Lytechinus pictus: one gene and its partner. The protein of the gene in region 2 purifies or fractionates together with the protein of the main gene of each other region. This does not show direct contact. Links are inferred from orthologs where the notes say so. Each region holds a gene or a part of one and is shown on either strand. Other genes may lie near its edges.

Region 1 (6,976 bases), on a different chromosome or scaffold from region 2:
GGAGGAAGTTAAATGAAAAGCAACAAGTCTGCCTTGGGGACTTTTAGTGTGGTTACTCAGGGATGAAATTAAAGAGGTGGAATGTAAAGATGAATGGATGAGAGAGATGGTGAGATGAAGTAAATGTATACCTCAGAGCTTGTTGATACTTTGAAAGCTGATTATATGCCCTCCACTGACATCCCTCCGATGAAGCTTGAAAAATAAAACCATTTTCACAGAGATTAAGATAAAGGCTAATAAGTTGTATAAAAAAATCAAGGATCAGTTTAATTAATGTATCCCTTATACTTCAACTTACAGTGTTAAAATACAATCAAAGAAAATTACACAAGAACTTACATATACACGGGATATTTACAAATGTTTGGAGATACATGTTGAAACCGAGCAATGTTTTCAAGGCCTTTTGCCGGGACCCCCTGCTTTTGCAGGGAACCCTCCTTGACCAGAAGGGTATTCACAGCTTACTATTAAATAAGCCCTGATAATAACAGGCCGCTACTCCCTTACACCTTCTTAATTGGTTGTTTTTTGCCTGGTGAGCAAATGGTTAACAAGGTAAATACAATTATGAACCATACATTTAAGGTTTTATGCAAAAAGCCTAGATATGAATTAATTCTGAAAAGAGGAAAAGAGGGGAAATGGGTTTGTCAGGGTTACGTTTCTTGAGGAACTTTAACTTACCACATGTACCTACCATCAGGAGCAGTGATAGGGTGTTTTTATTGGGGGACAGCACAAACTTAAAACAGGGCACTCGCGTCCCTGCTTAAAACAATGGCCTTTTCCTCAATTGAATAATACTTTAAAGGAGAAGTTCACCCTGAAGAAAAGTTTGTTGTAAAAATAGCAGAAAAAATGATAAAAAATACTGGTGAAGGTTTGAGGAAAATCCATTAAAGATTAAGGAAGTTATAAGAATTTCAAGTTTTGTATTTCTGACATCATAAATGAGCAGCTGTGTGTGTGTATGTGTGTGTGTATTTGAGTTTTGTCAGATGTGCATCAATCAGATATGATTATTTACGTCTGGGACAGACCTTTAACGTCACCATCTGAAAGACGTGACAAGGGCTCGAACCTCGAACCTCTGCATCCATTTGTAACTTCCCCACAGCTTGGATTACAGGCACATGCCACAATGCCCATATGTTATGTAATATAAAATGCATAAATTTCAAATTTTCAATTGTTTGTGACGACTAATTTTTGTTTTCTTTTTAGGAAGGTGTGTGAAATGATTTGTCTATTGATATACTGAATGTCACAACAAAACTATTTTCAATTTTCGAAGTAAATTACATTTCATTGATTTGTTATACCATTCGATATTTAGGAAAGCTGCTCGCATATGACGTCACAAATCAAATAACTGAAATTCTATTTAATTTTGTATTCTTGGGTGGATTTTTCTCAAACCTTTTACAATATTTTTATTTTTTTTTCTATCATTTTTACAACAAACTTTCTTTGTGAATTTTCCCTTTAATAGGGCATTATATTCTTGGACATTTCTTTTTTTTATAGTCATCCTTCCCCTTTCTTTCCTTTTCTTCATCTTTCCATCGCTACTTGAAAAATCAAATAGGGGTGGTCACCTAACTGCCCCCTCGCAGTACTATTCCCGACTACTAAGGACACCTAAATTTTGATTGGGTGATAAGCAAGTTCTATTTTCTTACCTATATTCAACTTGATGTTCCTTGATATGCATACCTACAAAGATATGGATAAATACAAATAATTACTATTTCATAATAAAAACGAAAAGAGGTTTTAAATCTTTACTACACATTAAGCAAAAATAAAGATCTGTTTTTACCCAAAAAAATCAGCAACAAAAATTACTCACCACTTACAAAAATATGTAAGACAAATAAATATGGATATATCGAGAGTCAATATTTTGCTAAAGTTAATTAGAATATAAAATATATGTAGGGAAATAGAAAAGGTATTCCAGAGATTCAAATCTAGTTCTGTCCCTGCCAAAGATAAATGGTTATTTATTATTTTTTTCATTGTATTGATAATTAGACAGTAATATGAATGAGTATGGCCTTTATTTAGAAATAATACAACATACTGAACTGGAAATGACACAAACCACTATTTTGTTCAGAATCTTATCTATCCGATCATACTTACTCCCTGCTCCCCGTACGATTGATACTATTTAGGATATGATTACATGTACCCGTCAATATTTCCCTATTTTGTGACAGTTGATGACCATATAGAGTTACCCAAATAAAGGGAAAATTATCAGAAATGTCACTTGAAATCAATTTTTTTCATGAGAGAATCCATCTTGGAATCTGACATCTAACCTGAGTTGAAAATAGACGGGAGCAACGAGCGATTCCGCCCTCGTGTGCTTTGGAATCGCTCTCGCAACTGCCTAAAACTGCTATAGTACTGAGCGACTCCCAACATGAAGATCGCTCCCGTCAGCGCCCGTCCAGTCTCCCACTTATGACTGCATAGTAGTCAGACAGCCAGGCCAGCGAAACAGCAGTTTTTACTTTCATGGATCGTCGAGTTCTGACGTGTAACTGAGTGGATTTTTTAGAATCACGGGCACGGCGCTTCAGAAAAATGCGTATTGATTTTCAAACTCTCGATATCCTGGGTAGTGGGTACTATTTTTCAAAACGCTGCGCGGCACCAGCAGGTCATGCTGTACCTTTGATAGAAAATTTTTCCCTTTTTATTGGATTAATTTTGAAGATACCATCCTAAATTTGCAAGAAAATAAGATCGTAAACTCTGAAGAAAATCAATTTTTTTTTTCTGAGTACTTTTCTGCGACTACACTTTTGAAATCTGAACTAATTCACTTGGTGCTCTGGATATTTGGCACAGATCCTGGAATTTTAAGACCGAAATTAGGATTTTCAGTGGGGATTTTTGGTGAGTAAGTCAGTTGGTAGCGATTCGGCATGCAAGTTGAATTTTCCGACTCATCATCACCTGTGTAATTCCCCTAATTTACCTCCATCCACGTCACTCTGTTGTTCACTAGAGCTAGAAACTTCATCATCATTCTCTTCATCTTCAAAATCATCAATTTGAAAATCCAAATCTAGATAAACTTCTGGGTTTTCTTTCATTTCGTGATCGAAGTATTCAGTGACAGTGTGGAGAAACGTACCCTCGCAACAGGTTTTGCATGCAAGTGGAGCTCGACATGGGAGAGCCAATCACGTCTCTCGTACACTCATGCATGTCATCAAAAATCCCCAATTTCGCGGACATAATTCTGCGTGTTTGAAGCATTCAGAGAGAGAACTGTATACTATCAAATAACTGAGTTTCATCGGTCTCCATGATAAATGATTTACACCATCGTGTTCTTATTTTCTCCTTTAATTTGATATATAATTCTCCATTTTTAGGATTTGCAATATATTTCTACTTTAAAAATAAGCTAGTGTGTATATATATATAAATGTGTGAAATTATACGTGTACAACAGCTTTGGCAACTCTTTTATTTAAATATTGTGTGAAAGAAATGGATGAAGAGAAATATGATAGGCGTAGCTTAAATCAAGGTTCCCCAGAGCTATCTACCCTTTGGAAAATTTGGTGATGCCGAAAAAATGTCTCTGCCGGGAATCGAACCCGGGCCCCCAGCTTTGAACGCCGGTGCCTTAACCCGTCTCTGTGGTCTAGTGGTTAAGGCACTGTTCAAAGCTGGGGGCCCGGGTTTGATTCCCGGCAGAGACATTTTTTCGGCATCACCAAATTTTCCAAAGGGTAGATAGCTCTGGGGAACCTTGATTTAAGCTACGCATACCATATTTCTCTTCATCTATTTCTTTCACACAATATATATATATATAAAACGAGAGGCGAGAGCTTTACAACATAGTGTATACTTTGCTTCATCCTTGATTCTACTCTACTCTTCACACATATATATATTAAGAAATACATATAAATAGGCCTATGACATGCAGAATAAAATGAGATTAGATAAATCATGAAAACTTTTTTATTTGATTTGATTTGATTTGATTTATTGTTTTCTTCTGCATCCATAACATTCGTATAATACATTTTTCATAACATAATAAACATAATATGCTAGCATTTTTGGCATGAATCATAAATAAAGAGTATTAAAAAGATAATTTCAGACAAAAATGATTAACTATATGATATTCACAGTATATTGATGCAGTATAGGACCTATTATTCTTCATGGTCTCCCTCTAACCTCTCTGTAATTTTATTTTGTCTGAAAATTAAGCAGCTGGTGGATATTTAATTCATATAAATGATATATATTCCTTTTTTTAATAAAACAAATATTATTCAAAAATTTGCATCTTCAATTAATTTCATCGCAGATTACTACTCTCACAGGTCACCTTCCTCATTTCATTTCTTTTTTTTTTACTTATTTTTCTCAATACTTTTATCTATTCTCACATTTTTTGTTCTATTTAATTCATTATTTTGTCTTTGCAGTATTATAAAATCTTGGGACCAGGCCACTAATAAAACTTCAGAATGTCCGGCCATGATCCTGAATTACATGCAATAATATTATGTATCTGTGGAGAGAAAAATAAAACACAGCTCGCTTAATATCTGAATAAAATCATGATTGAGATAATTATTTATGAAACGTATCCTATTCTTGAAAATTGATTGCATTACTAAAATATACAAATATGCCTCTGGCAGTCTCGCCTGCATTACGCAATTCGATATAGCAGCAGTGCTGCCTCTGAAAACAGCTAATGAATAATTATTCATAGAAGAAAACACTAATATAATAATAAAATATGTCCATTCACCCGAAATGAACTTTGACCATGATCATATGACCTACTTGATTACCCTTATGTCGATGTTTCATGAGCTAGATCCATAATCTTTCTAAGTTATGATGTCAATTCAACACATACTCCCAAAATGCCAGAGGTCATTAACCTTTAAATGACCTTTGATCTTGGCCATGCTCCTGAAAGGGTATTCAGAGATACATTGCTGCTCTTATGTCCAAGTTTCATGAACTAGATCCATAAACTTTTAAAGTTATGATGACAATTCCTCAAATACCCCTAACATGGCTAAAGTTTGTTGACCCCAAGTGACCTTTGACCTTGGTCATGTGAACTGAAACTCGCATATGATATTCAGGGATACATGGTTGCTCTTATGTCGAAGTTTCATGAACTAGATCCATAAACTTTTAAAGTTATGACAATCCCTAAACAAGTGGAATGCCTCTGGCCGTCTCACCTGCATCACGCGATTCAATATAGCAGCAGTGCTGATTTTGAAAACTACTATAACTCGCACAAGATGTTCAGTGATACTTGGTTACTCTTATTTCCACGTTTTATGAACTAGACCCATACACTTATAGAGATATGATGGTAATTCAACAAATACCCCCAACGTGGCCAAAGTTCATTGACCTTACATGACCTTTGACCTTGATCATGTGACCTGAAACTCGCACAGGATGTTCAGTGATACTTGATTACTCTTATGTCCAAGTTTCAAGAGAAAGATCCATCAACTTTCCAAGTTATGATGGTAATTCAACAGATACCCCCATTATGGCCAAAGTTCATTGACCTTTGACCTTGGTCATGTGACCTAAAATGCGCAAAGGATGTTCAGTGATACTTCATTACTCTTATGTCCAAGTTTTATGAACTAGACCAACACACTTTCAAAGTTATGGCGGTAATTCAACAAATACCCCAATTTGACCAAAGTTCATTGACCCTAAATGACCTTTGACCTTGATCATGTGACCTGAAACTTGCACAGGATGTTCAGTAATACTTGATTACTATTATGTCCAAGTTTCATGAATCAGATCCATAAACTTTTAAAGTTATGATGGTAAATCTACAGATACCCCCAATTCGGCCAAAGTTCATTGACCCTAAATGACCATTGACCTTGGTCATGTGACGTGAAACTCATGCAGGATGTTCAGTGTTACTTGATTAACCTTATGTATAAGTTTCATGAACTAGGTCCATATATTTTCTAAGTTATGATGACATTTCAAAAACTTAACCTTAGGTTAAGATTTTGATGTTGATTCCCCCAACATGGTCTAAGTTCATTGACCCTAAATGACCATTGACCATGGTCATGTGACATGAAACTCAGGCAGGATGTTCAGTAATACTTGATTAACCTTATGGCCAAGTTTCATGAACTAGGTCCATATACTTTCTAAGTTATGCTGTCATTTCAAAAACTTAACCTCAGGTTAAGATTTGGTGTTGACGCCGCCGCCGCCGTCGCCGTCGGAAAAGCGGCGCCTATAGTCTCACTCTGCTATGCAGGTGAGACAAAAAACCCTAACATGGCCAAAGTTTGTTGACCCTAAGTGACCTTTGACCTTAATCATGTGACCTGAAACTCAGGCAGGATCTCCAGTGATACATTATTACCCTAATGTCTCAGTTTCATGAACTAGGTCCATATACTTTCGAAGTTATGACATTTAAAAAACTTAACCTTGGTTAAGATTTCGATATTGATTCCCCCAACATGGTCTAAGTTCATTGACCCTAAATGACCTTTGACCTTGGTCATGTGACCTGAAACTCAGGCAGGATGTTCAGTAATACTTGATTACCCTTATGTCCAACTTTCATGAACTAGGTCCATATACTTTCCAGGTTATGATGACCTTGGTTAAGATTTCAATGTTGACGACGCCGCCGTTGCCGTCGGAAAAGTGGCGCCTATAGTCTCGCTCTGCTATGCAGGCGAGACAATAACTAGAATGAAGTAATCAAATCTACTGCAGAGTTTGTTTTATTAATCATCATTTTATTAATTCCTTGGAATGCCGGGACCAGTTTCATCACTGCGTGGCGGACATACACTGTCCCTGGGCCGAGAGTGCCTGCAGTCCGTGCCAGAGGTCCGTGCATACAAGCGCACTTTGCACAGTCATAGCTGCACAGCTCAGAATACGC
Region 2 (6,973 bases):
GGGCATGGTGTGCAAATCAAACGCAATGTGACCTAGCATTACCATTATTAGCAATGTCAATGACACGACAATCAATGACATTTTAGTTTGACATGTTGTTAAATCAAACTTTTTCTGCATCTGACTTATGCATAAGTGCAGACAACCAAAAAATTACTTTTTTTCTTTCCAGGGCTCTTTTTGGAGAAACTTAAAAATTTTCCAGGGCTACTTTTTCATTTTCCAGGGCTCTTTTTCCACTTTCCAGGGCTACAATTTCTACTTTCCAGGGCTACAATTTCTGGAGCTATTTCGCGGCTTTTTTGCGTTTGTGTGTGTGTGTGTGTATATATATACACGGTAGCTAGCATATACCAGGGAAGTATAACACTTCCCTGGTTTGACCTTCGCATTGTTTCTTCGAAGTGATTGTTTATGATTTTAGTGTTGTGATGATAGATGGATTTTGATGCTTGAACGATATCTGAGTTGATTCATGGACCTAATACAGACCTATTCAGATTAAATCATGGAGGTAGAACCTCCATGAATTAATCCAAGTTTGAATGTTTGATACTTGGTTGACGTGAGCTTTGCGTGTTTACTATTTAGTGTTATAGCCCATTTGTCAAATTAATCTAGAAAGATCTGTATTCGTGTCTAAAGACAATGTAAAAGAAAAAGAAAGTTCTGAATTTGTACAATTCTGAGGTAATTTATTTTATCATACAATATAGGTACCTGCAAATGTTATGAAGTTGAACAAATATCCTTCGTACATATTTGACTGAAAGTTATTTAAATGACACTTTTTAAAAAAGACTTAAAATTATTCATACAAAATAATGATATAAGTCATAAAGGTCATTGAATTGTTAAGCGTTCGTATCAGTTACACAGATTCATGACAAAAAGGCCTACCAGAACGTAAACTGGCAATTTCCATCATCCATCATGAATGCCTAGCCTTGCACAGCCTCTAATTGGAATGAACTTATCCACGTCTTTGCAAATTTTACCTGACCTAATTTCTCCACACAGTGAGAGAGGCCATGTGGCAGCCAAACCAAAACAGAATGAAAAGGGCGGCAATCTCGTACCCCCCCCCCCCCCACCACCACCACAAGAATATCAGATTTCCAAACATGTGCTTCTCAAGATTGTGCAATACATGACGGAGACAAAGAAAGTTATGTAAACAAATTGCCGAGGGTTGATGTCCCTGAATTAAGGGGCTAGTCTACGTTTTCAGTCACTTAAGAAAATGGCGAACTGGCCAAAGGTGAAATACATCATTGAAAAAAAAATGAATGTTTGGATTAAAATAACGAAGATTAAATGAAATATGACTGAAAAATATCCATAGTTGAATCTCTACTTTTATTACTGACAGAACAATAACATCATTTTTTTATTAACTTCTTGCCAATATTCCAATAAGGCAAGACTCCCATTTAAGACTAGAATGAAAGAAAAAAAATCAAAGCATGATTTTTTTTAAAGGGATAGACGAGACTCTTGTTTTGAACAGAGATATAAAAATATTTAAAAACAAACAAGAGGTGATAAACACTTCATTAAAATTATAATGAAGTTCGTAGTGAATTACAACTTGTAAAAGGAGAAATTAGCAAGAATAATAGGGAAATAAAGTTTGGAAGAAAAGAAGGAATGAGGAGAGACAAGCTTTGGGGGGAAGGATCAAGATGGGTGGCTGCAGCTCGACATGGGGCTAGATAAATGGGAGGGGGGGGAGCAATCATCTATCAAGTCGCCCAAAATCTTACACCTTCACCAAACTTCTCACACAATCCACACACAAATCCCAGTTCATGATACAATCACAAGTGTCGCTCAACACATGCGCACGTGGTCTCTACTGGCATTTTACAGTCACACACACAGAAATACACACTACACACAATGCACACGATGCATCCCCATACCACATGCAGTCACACTGAGCCTAAAGCACACAAGCAGAGAAACGTTCTGCTCGAAGTATATGACTCCTCGGCTCCAAATTCTACATTTATTTTATCTCAGTGCTTGGAGTCGGCGCTGGGGTAGATTTTTCCTCGGAGTACAGGTTCTCGGTTTTGCGCGCACACTCGGCTGGGCGTACGCACGGAATAGAACGTATGTATCGCGGTGCAGATTCGTTTAAAATCGTCTAGAACTAGACTAGCGCTGGGGCCGATTTTCGTCCATGAATGAGAGAGCATGGCAAGGACTTGAGTCCCTTTATCTCAGAACCGCCGCCGCTTGGTACTCGAGTCTCCAGAGATCAGGGTCGACTCCCCGACTCTGGCATAGAGAATCGGGTAGACTCGATTACCCGGCGCTGGCTCCCAAGCCTAGTTGACGGGGGCGATTATGAGTTTTGCAGTCGCCCTTGTGTGAATGTTTTTAGCCCTTTTCCGGGGCTCTTTTTGGACTTTCCGGGGCGAATTCGCCCGCCGCCCCCGTGTAATTTTTTGGTTGAGTGCAGACAACATAGACAAGGGGCATTGAGCTGTGCAGACTAAGTTTGTACACCAATGTAGTAGCCCATGCCATAAATTTAGTGCTGCAGTGTAGCAGGTGAATTCACTCATTTACTATTCGAACACATATATCACTGAATCGTGTTAATCACGAATTCACTTGTGTGCACAAGAAATTACACACCATCATTGATCACAATACAATCGAAGCTTTGCTTGTTTTAGCAGCCGACACCACCCCCTCTTGCCATGTAATACATAATTATAATAATTCAACATAACAATATCGATCATACATTCAGCTCTCGGGGAGTTAGTTGAGTTTTTCTGACACGAAATCGTGTGAAAACAGATAACTTACAGTCGAAAGACAGCGTCCAGCTCGGGTTACGACAGGTAAGAGCGACATCTTGTCATTAGCACATGTAAGGATTTTACCTCTAGATGGCGCGCGCGCTGAATCTGTTTGCAAAAATGGGATGACACTGGATATGGATGGGATTCAAAGTTTCATGTACAACATGAAATTAATTTGGAAGGTCTTTTTTAATATTTGAAATATGTTAAAAGTGGGGGTCTGCACTTAACATGCCTATACAATGTCAAAATGGGCATTTGGTACAAACGGATATTTTCACCATGAGATTATCATCTGAGTGAAGTAGTTGTGTGTTTGAGTTGAGCAAATCCGTCACTTGAAGTGATTTCTGATTGATAAGATATATCCTATTATATTAATAGGTTTTATCTTTTTCCGCGAGATAGCGGTCGGTTTGGGAAAAAAAAATCAAATCTGAATTTTTAGAACTCGCTTTTTCAGTGGTCAATAATGGCGCTATTGTTGTTTAAAGGATATCCTGCGAGATGTTGCGAGAGCGAATCGCGAGCTAAAAACTTTTAGACATTTCATGTAATAGACATGAAAATTATACATTCCGAGCAGTTTTTGTAATCATGAAAAAGATGTGTATCCAACTAAAGAATTAACGTGAGCGCCAAGCACGAGCTGATTTTTTTTTAATGTACTAGTGACCAGAAAAGGAACTTGTTAAGGACTGCATTTAGTGATTTATGAATAGGATACCGGCATATCTGTGTCGAACATCAATTCGGCGACCCTATGTGGAACATCAATTCGGTGCCCCCTATATCGAACATCAATTCGGCTCCCCCTCGGTTAAACATCAGCACCCTCTATGACAAACATCAATTCGGTGCCCCTAGGTCAAACATCAATTCCGCCCCCCCCATATTATGTCGAACATTAATTCGGTATACTCCCTATGTCGGACATCAATTCGGCGCCCCCGCCATTTCTTGATTTGATGTTGATGGGCATGTATAGTAGATTATGTCAGATAATGTTGATGTCTATTTGAGAACACACAAATGTATTTTATATTTTATATCTGTATCTATGGATGCATAAGTACTGAGTGCGAATGTTTACACATTTAGTTTAATTCGCTTAGCCAAATTCAATTTTACATTTTCTATATTCTTTTGTTTAATATATTCTGTTAAAGAATCGAGCAGTATTTCCATGTATGTATTTATTGTTGTTTGTCATGCATTTTATTTATTCACCTTTTTGGTTTTGCTCAATTTCCTAAGATTACTACATGTTCACATTTATTTTTACTTTGTAACATATTGCTGTACACTATGTATATAGTTTAAGTCTTGTTTTGTCATCTTTGTCTGTTTGTACTGGGCTGATATACATCTTTGTGGTTATTTTCATGTATATTTTACATTGTATTTTTATAAAGGGCCCCAATGAAAACAAGTGTTTCTGCTGATTGGGCTACCCTTTTTAAATATGTGTAATAAATTAATAAATTAAAAATATATATATATATGAAGAGCTCACTTGCAAAAGGGGTTTGGTCAATTTTTCATCAAATTTGATTATTTGGTCTCAATGTATAGATTTTTAGTAGCTCTATAAGATGATACCAAAGAAAAGTTGAAATTCCTATTTAAAATTGATCAAAAATGGCAAAGAAAAATCACTTTTTTTTTTCAAAAGGGGTTAGGTCCATTTCAGTTTAGTTGCAAAAGGGATTAGGTCCACCCCGAATTTTTTTGGAAAATAATATTTAAAAAAATATGAATAAAGGTAGATTTCTTTTCTACACAATTTTATGATGTCATGGTAGGGAATCTTGAAAATTTAGTTTCGCATAAGAATATGCAATATAGGAGAATTAAACAAAATAATTTTCTTGGAGTGGACCTAACCCCTTTTGCAAACAAACTCTTCTGAAGAGCTCATTTGTCAAAAGGGGTTAGGACCATTGTTCATAAATTTTATTGTTTTCTGACTCAAAACCTCTAAATTTTTAGTCGCTTTGATGAAAACAAAGACAATTTGAAATTTACATGAAAACGTGAAAAAAGTGGCAAAGAAAAATCACTTTTTTAATCAAAATAGATTGGATTCATTTTAGTTTACTTGCAAAAGGGCTTAGGTCCACAATAATAATTTTTAAAACAATTTATAGGAAAAAATTGGAGACAGATTTCTTTTATACCCAATTTTATGTTCACATGATAGGGTAGTACATCTTGACAATTTAGTTTCTCATAAGAATATTGCAGTAAGTGAGAATAAAAAACACGGTTTTTCTCAGAATGGTCCAAAGTGGACCTAAGCCCTTTTGCAACTAAACTCTTCATATATAAATAAATAAATAAATAAACAAATAAATGAATAAATAAATAAATAAAATGTCAAACATCAATTCGGCGCCCCTCGGCAAAACCTCAATTTTGCGCCCCCCCCCCCATGTCGAACATCAATTACGCTCCCCTCTAGATTGAACATCAATTTGGCACCCTATGTATAACATCAATTCGGCTCCCCTCTAGATTGAACATCAATCCGGCATCCTATGTAAAACATCAATTCGGCGCCCCTCCCCCCCCCCCCCTAGGTTAAACATCAATTCGGCGCCTCTAGGTAAAACCTCAATTTTGCATCCCCCTATGTCGAACAACGATTCGGCGCCCCCTATGTCGAACATCTATTCGGCGCCCCCCCCCTAATGTCGATCATCAATTCGGTGCCCCCCCCATGTTGAGCATCAATACGGCGCCCCTAGGTAAGTAAAACATCATTTATTTCGCCCCCCCTAGGTGGAACATCAATTTTGCGCCCCCTTTCCTCTTTTTTTTTCTCTCTTTCTTTCCCGTTTTTTTTTCTCTTTCTCTTCTTCTTTTCCTCTTTTTTCTCCCCTTCTCTTTTTCTCTAATTCCTTTCTCTCTTTGGCGCCCCCTTTTCGCCTACCCGGGGCCCCCAGAACACGCACATCATTATCTTTTACAAAACTAATTATAAAGAAAGAGCAAAGCGCGAACTTCACTTGTTCCATATATTGACTTTAAAACGAGTAACGGGTGCCAGTTCCCCCCTCCTCTATCATTCTTCCTCCTATTAATTTGTCTACTTTCTCTTCTATATTTTCTCCATCCTTCCATTTTTAATTTTCTTCTTTTTCTCTTTTTTCTCACCTTTTTTACTTTTTTTATGCGCATCCTATAGCATGCATAGGGAGCCGCGGCCGCTTTGGTCCCTGGATTCGGCTACATTCTCCCATTTCATTTCCTCCATCATTTATTTTGTGCAGGAGGAGGCAGTGGCTTTTATGCTCTTAAATTTACCTTTTTATATAAAAGAATGAACAAATGATCTTCCCTTACACCCTCTGACTCAGTGGCGTACCGTTGGTCAAGGCATGAGGGCACCAGCAAAAAATTTGAGTCACTTAGTGGGAGCGCGAAGCGCGCTCAATTGCCACGTATACTGACCTAATAAAGACATGTTAAGGACTGTGCCATCAAACGGATATGTTTCCCATTCATCAAATAATGATAGCGCGAAGCGCGAGGTGCCATTTTTTTAATAATCAGGCCTAAAAAGGATACATCATACGCAATCTTTGAAAATCATGATACGTGCCTGTCTCACTAAATAAACAATGCAAGTGCAAAGCGCGAGCTAGAATTTGTATACATAATATTGATCCAAACTAAGTGCTTGCTGATTTTATTAGAATTACACCTAAACACATGAAGCACGTCTTGTAGTCATTGTAATCATGAACATGATACTTATCTCACTAATCAAAATGCAAGCGCGGAGCGCGAACTGAATTTTTTTTAAATTTAGACCTGAAGAGGGGTAATCTAAGACTTATTTGTAGGAATTCACTAAGACCATACGTATTTCACGAACGAAATGATGCGAACGCGAAGCGCGAGCTAAACATTTTTGATATTCAGACCAGAAAAAGGGACATTTTAAGGACTGTTTATAGGAATTCATGAATAGCAGACATATCTCACCAATCTACTAATCCGAACGTAAGCACGGACTGGAAATGTTCTATATTTAGACCTTAAAAAGGGGCAATCACTTTAAGTAGTCATGAAAAGAATGTGACTACATAAAACAATAATAACTCGAAGTGCGAGGAAATATATTTGGTGTATATTGACTTGAA

Evidence for each region.
Region 1: the proteins of dihydrolipoyl dehydrogenase, mitochondrial-like (region 2) and dihydrolipoyllysine-residue succinyltransferase component of 2-oxoglutarate dehydrogenase complex, mitochondrial-like purify together in Homo sapiens (affinity purification with mass spectrometry; 3 studies listed by BioGRID and IntAct, counting the BioPlex papers as one, with this or other methods). This does not show direct contact. The link is inferred for Lytechinus pictus from reciprocal best matches to the Homo sapiens genes DLD and DLST.

The regions. Positions count from the first base shown.
Region 1 is NC_087251.1:41,956,235-41,963,210, forward strand, and holds the start of dihydrolipoyllysine-residue succinyltransferase component of 2-oxoglutarate dehydrogenase complex, mitochondrial-like, read right to left. Parts: upstream 3,062-6,976; coding exon 3,002-3,061; intron 1,723-3,001; coding exon 1,689-1,722; intron 196-1,688; coding exon 132-195; intron 1-131. UniProt on the Homo sapiens protein: Dihydrolipoamide succinyltransferase (E2) component of the 2-oxoglutarate dehydrogenase complex. The 2-oxoglutarate dehydrogenase complex catalyzes the overall conversion of 2-oxoglutarate to succinyl-CoA and CO(2).
Region 2 is NC_087247.1:3,811,346-3,818,318, forward strand, and holds the start of dihydrolipoyl dehydrogenase, mitochondrial-like, read right to left. Parts: upstream 3,076-6,973; 5' UTR 2,875-3,075; coding exon 2,827-2,874; intron 1-2,826. UniProt on the Homo sapiens protein: Lipoamide dehydrogenase is a component of the glycine cleavage system as well as an E3 component of three alpha-ketoacid dehydrogenase complexes (pyruvate-, alpha-ketoglutarate-, and branched-chain amino acid-dehydrogenase complex).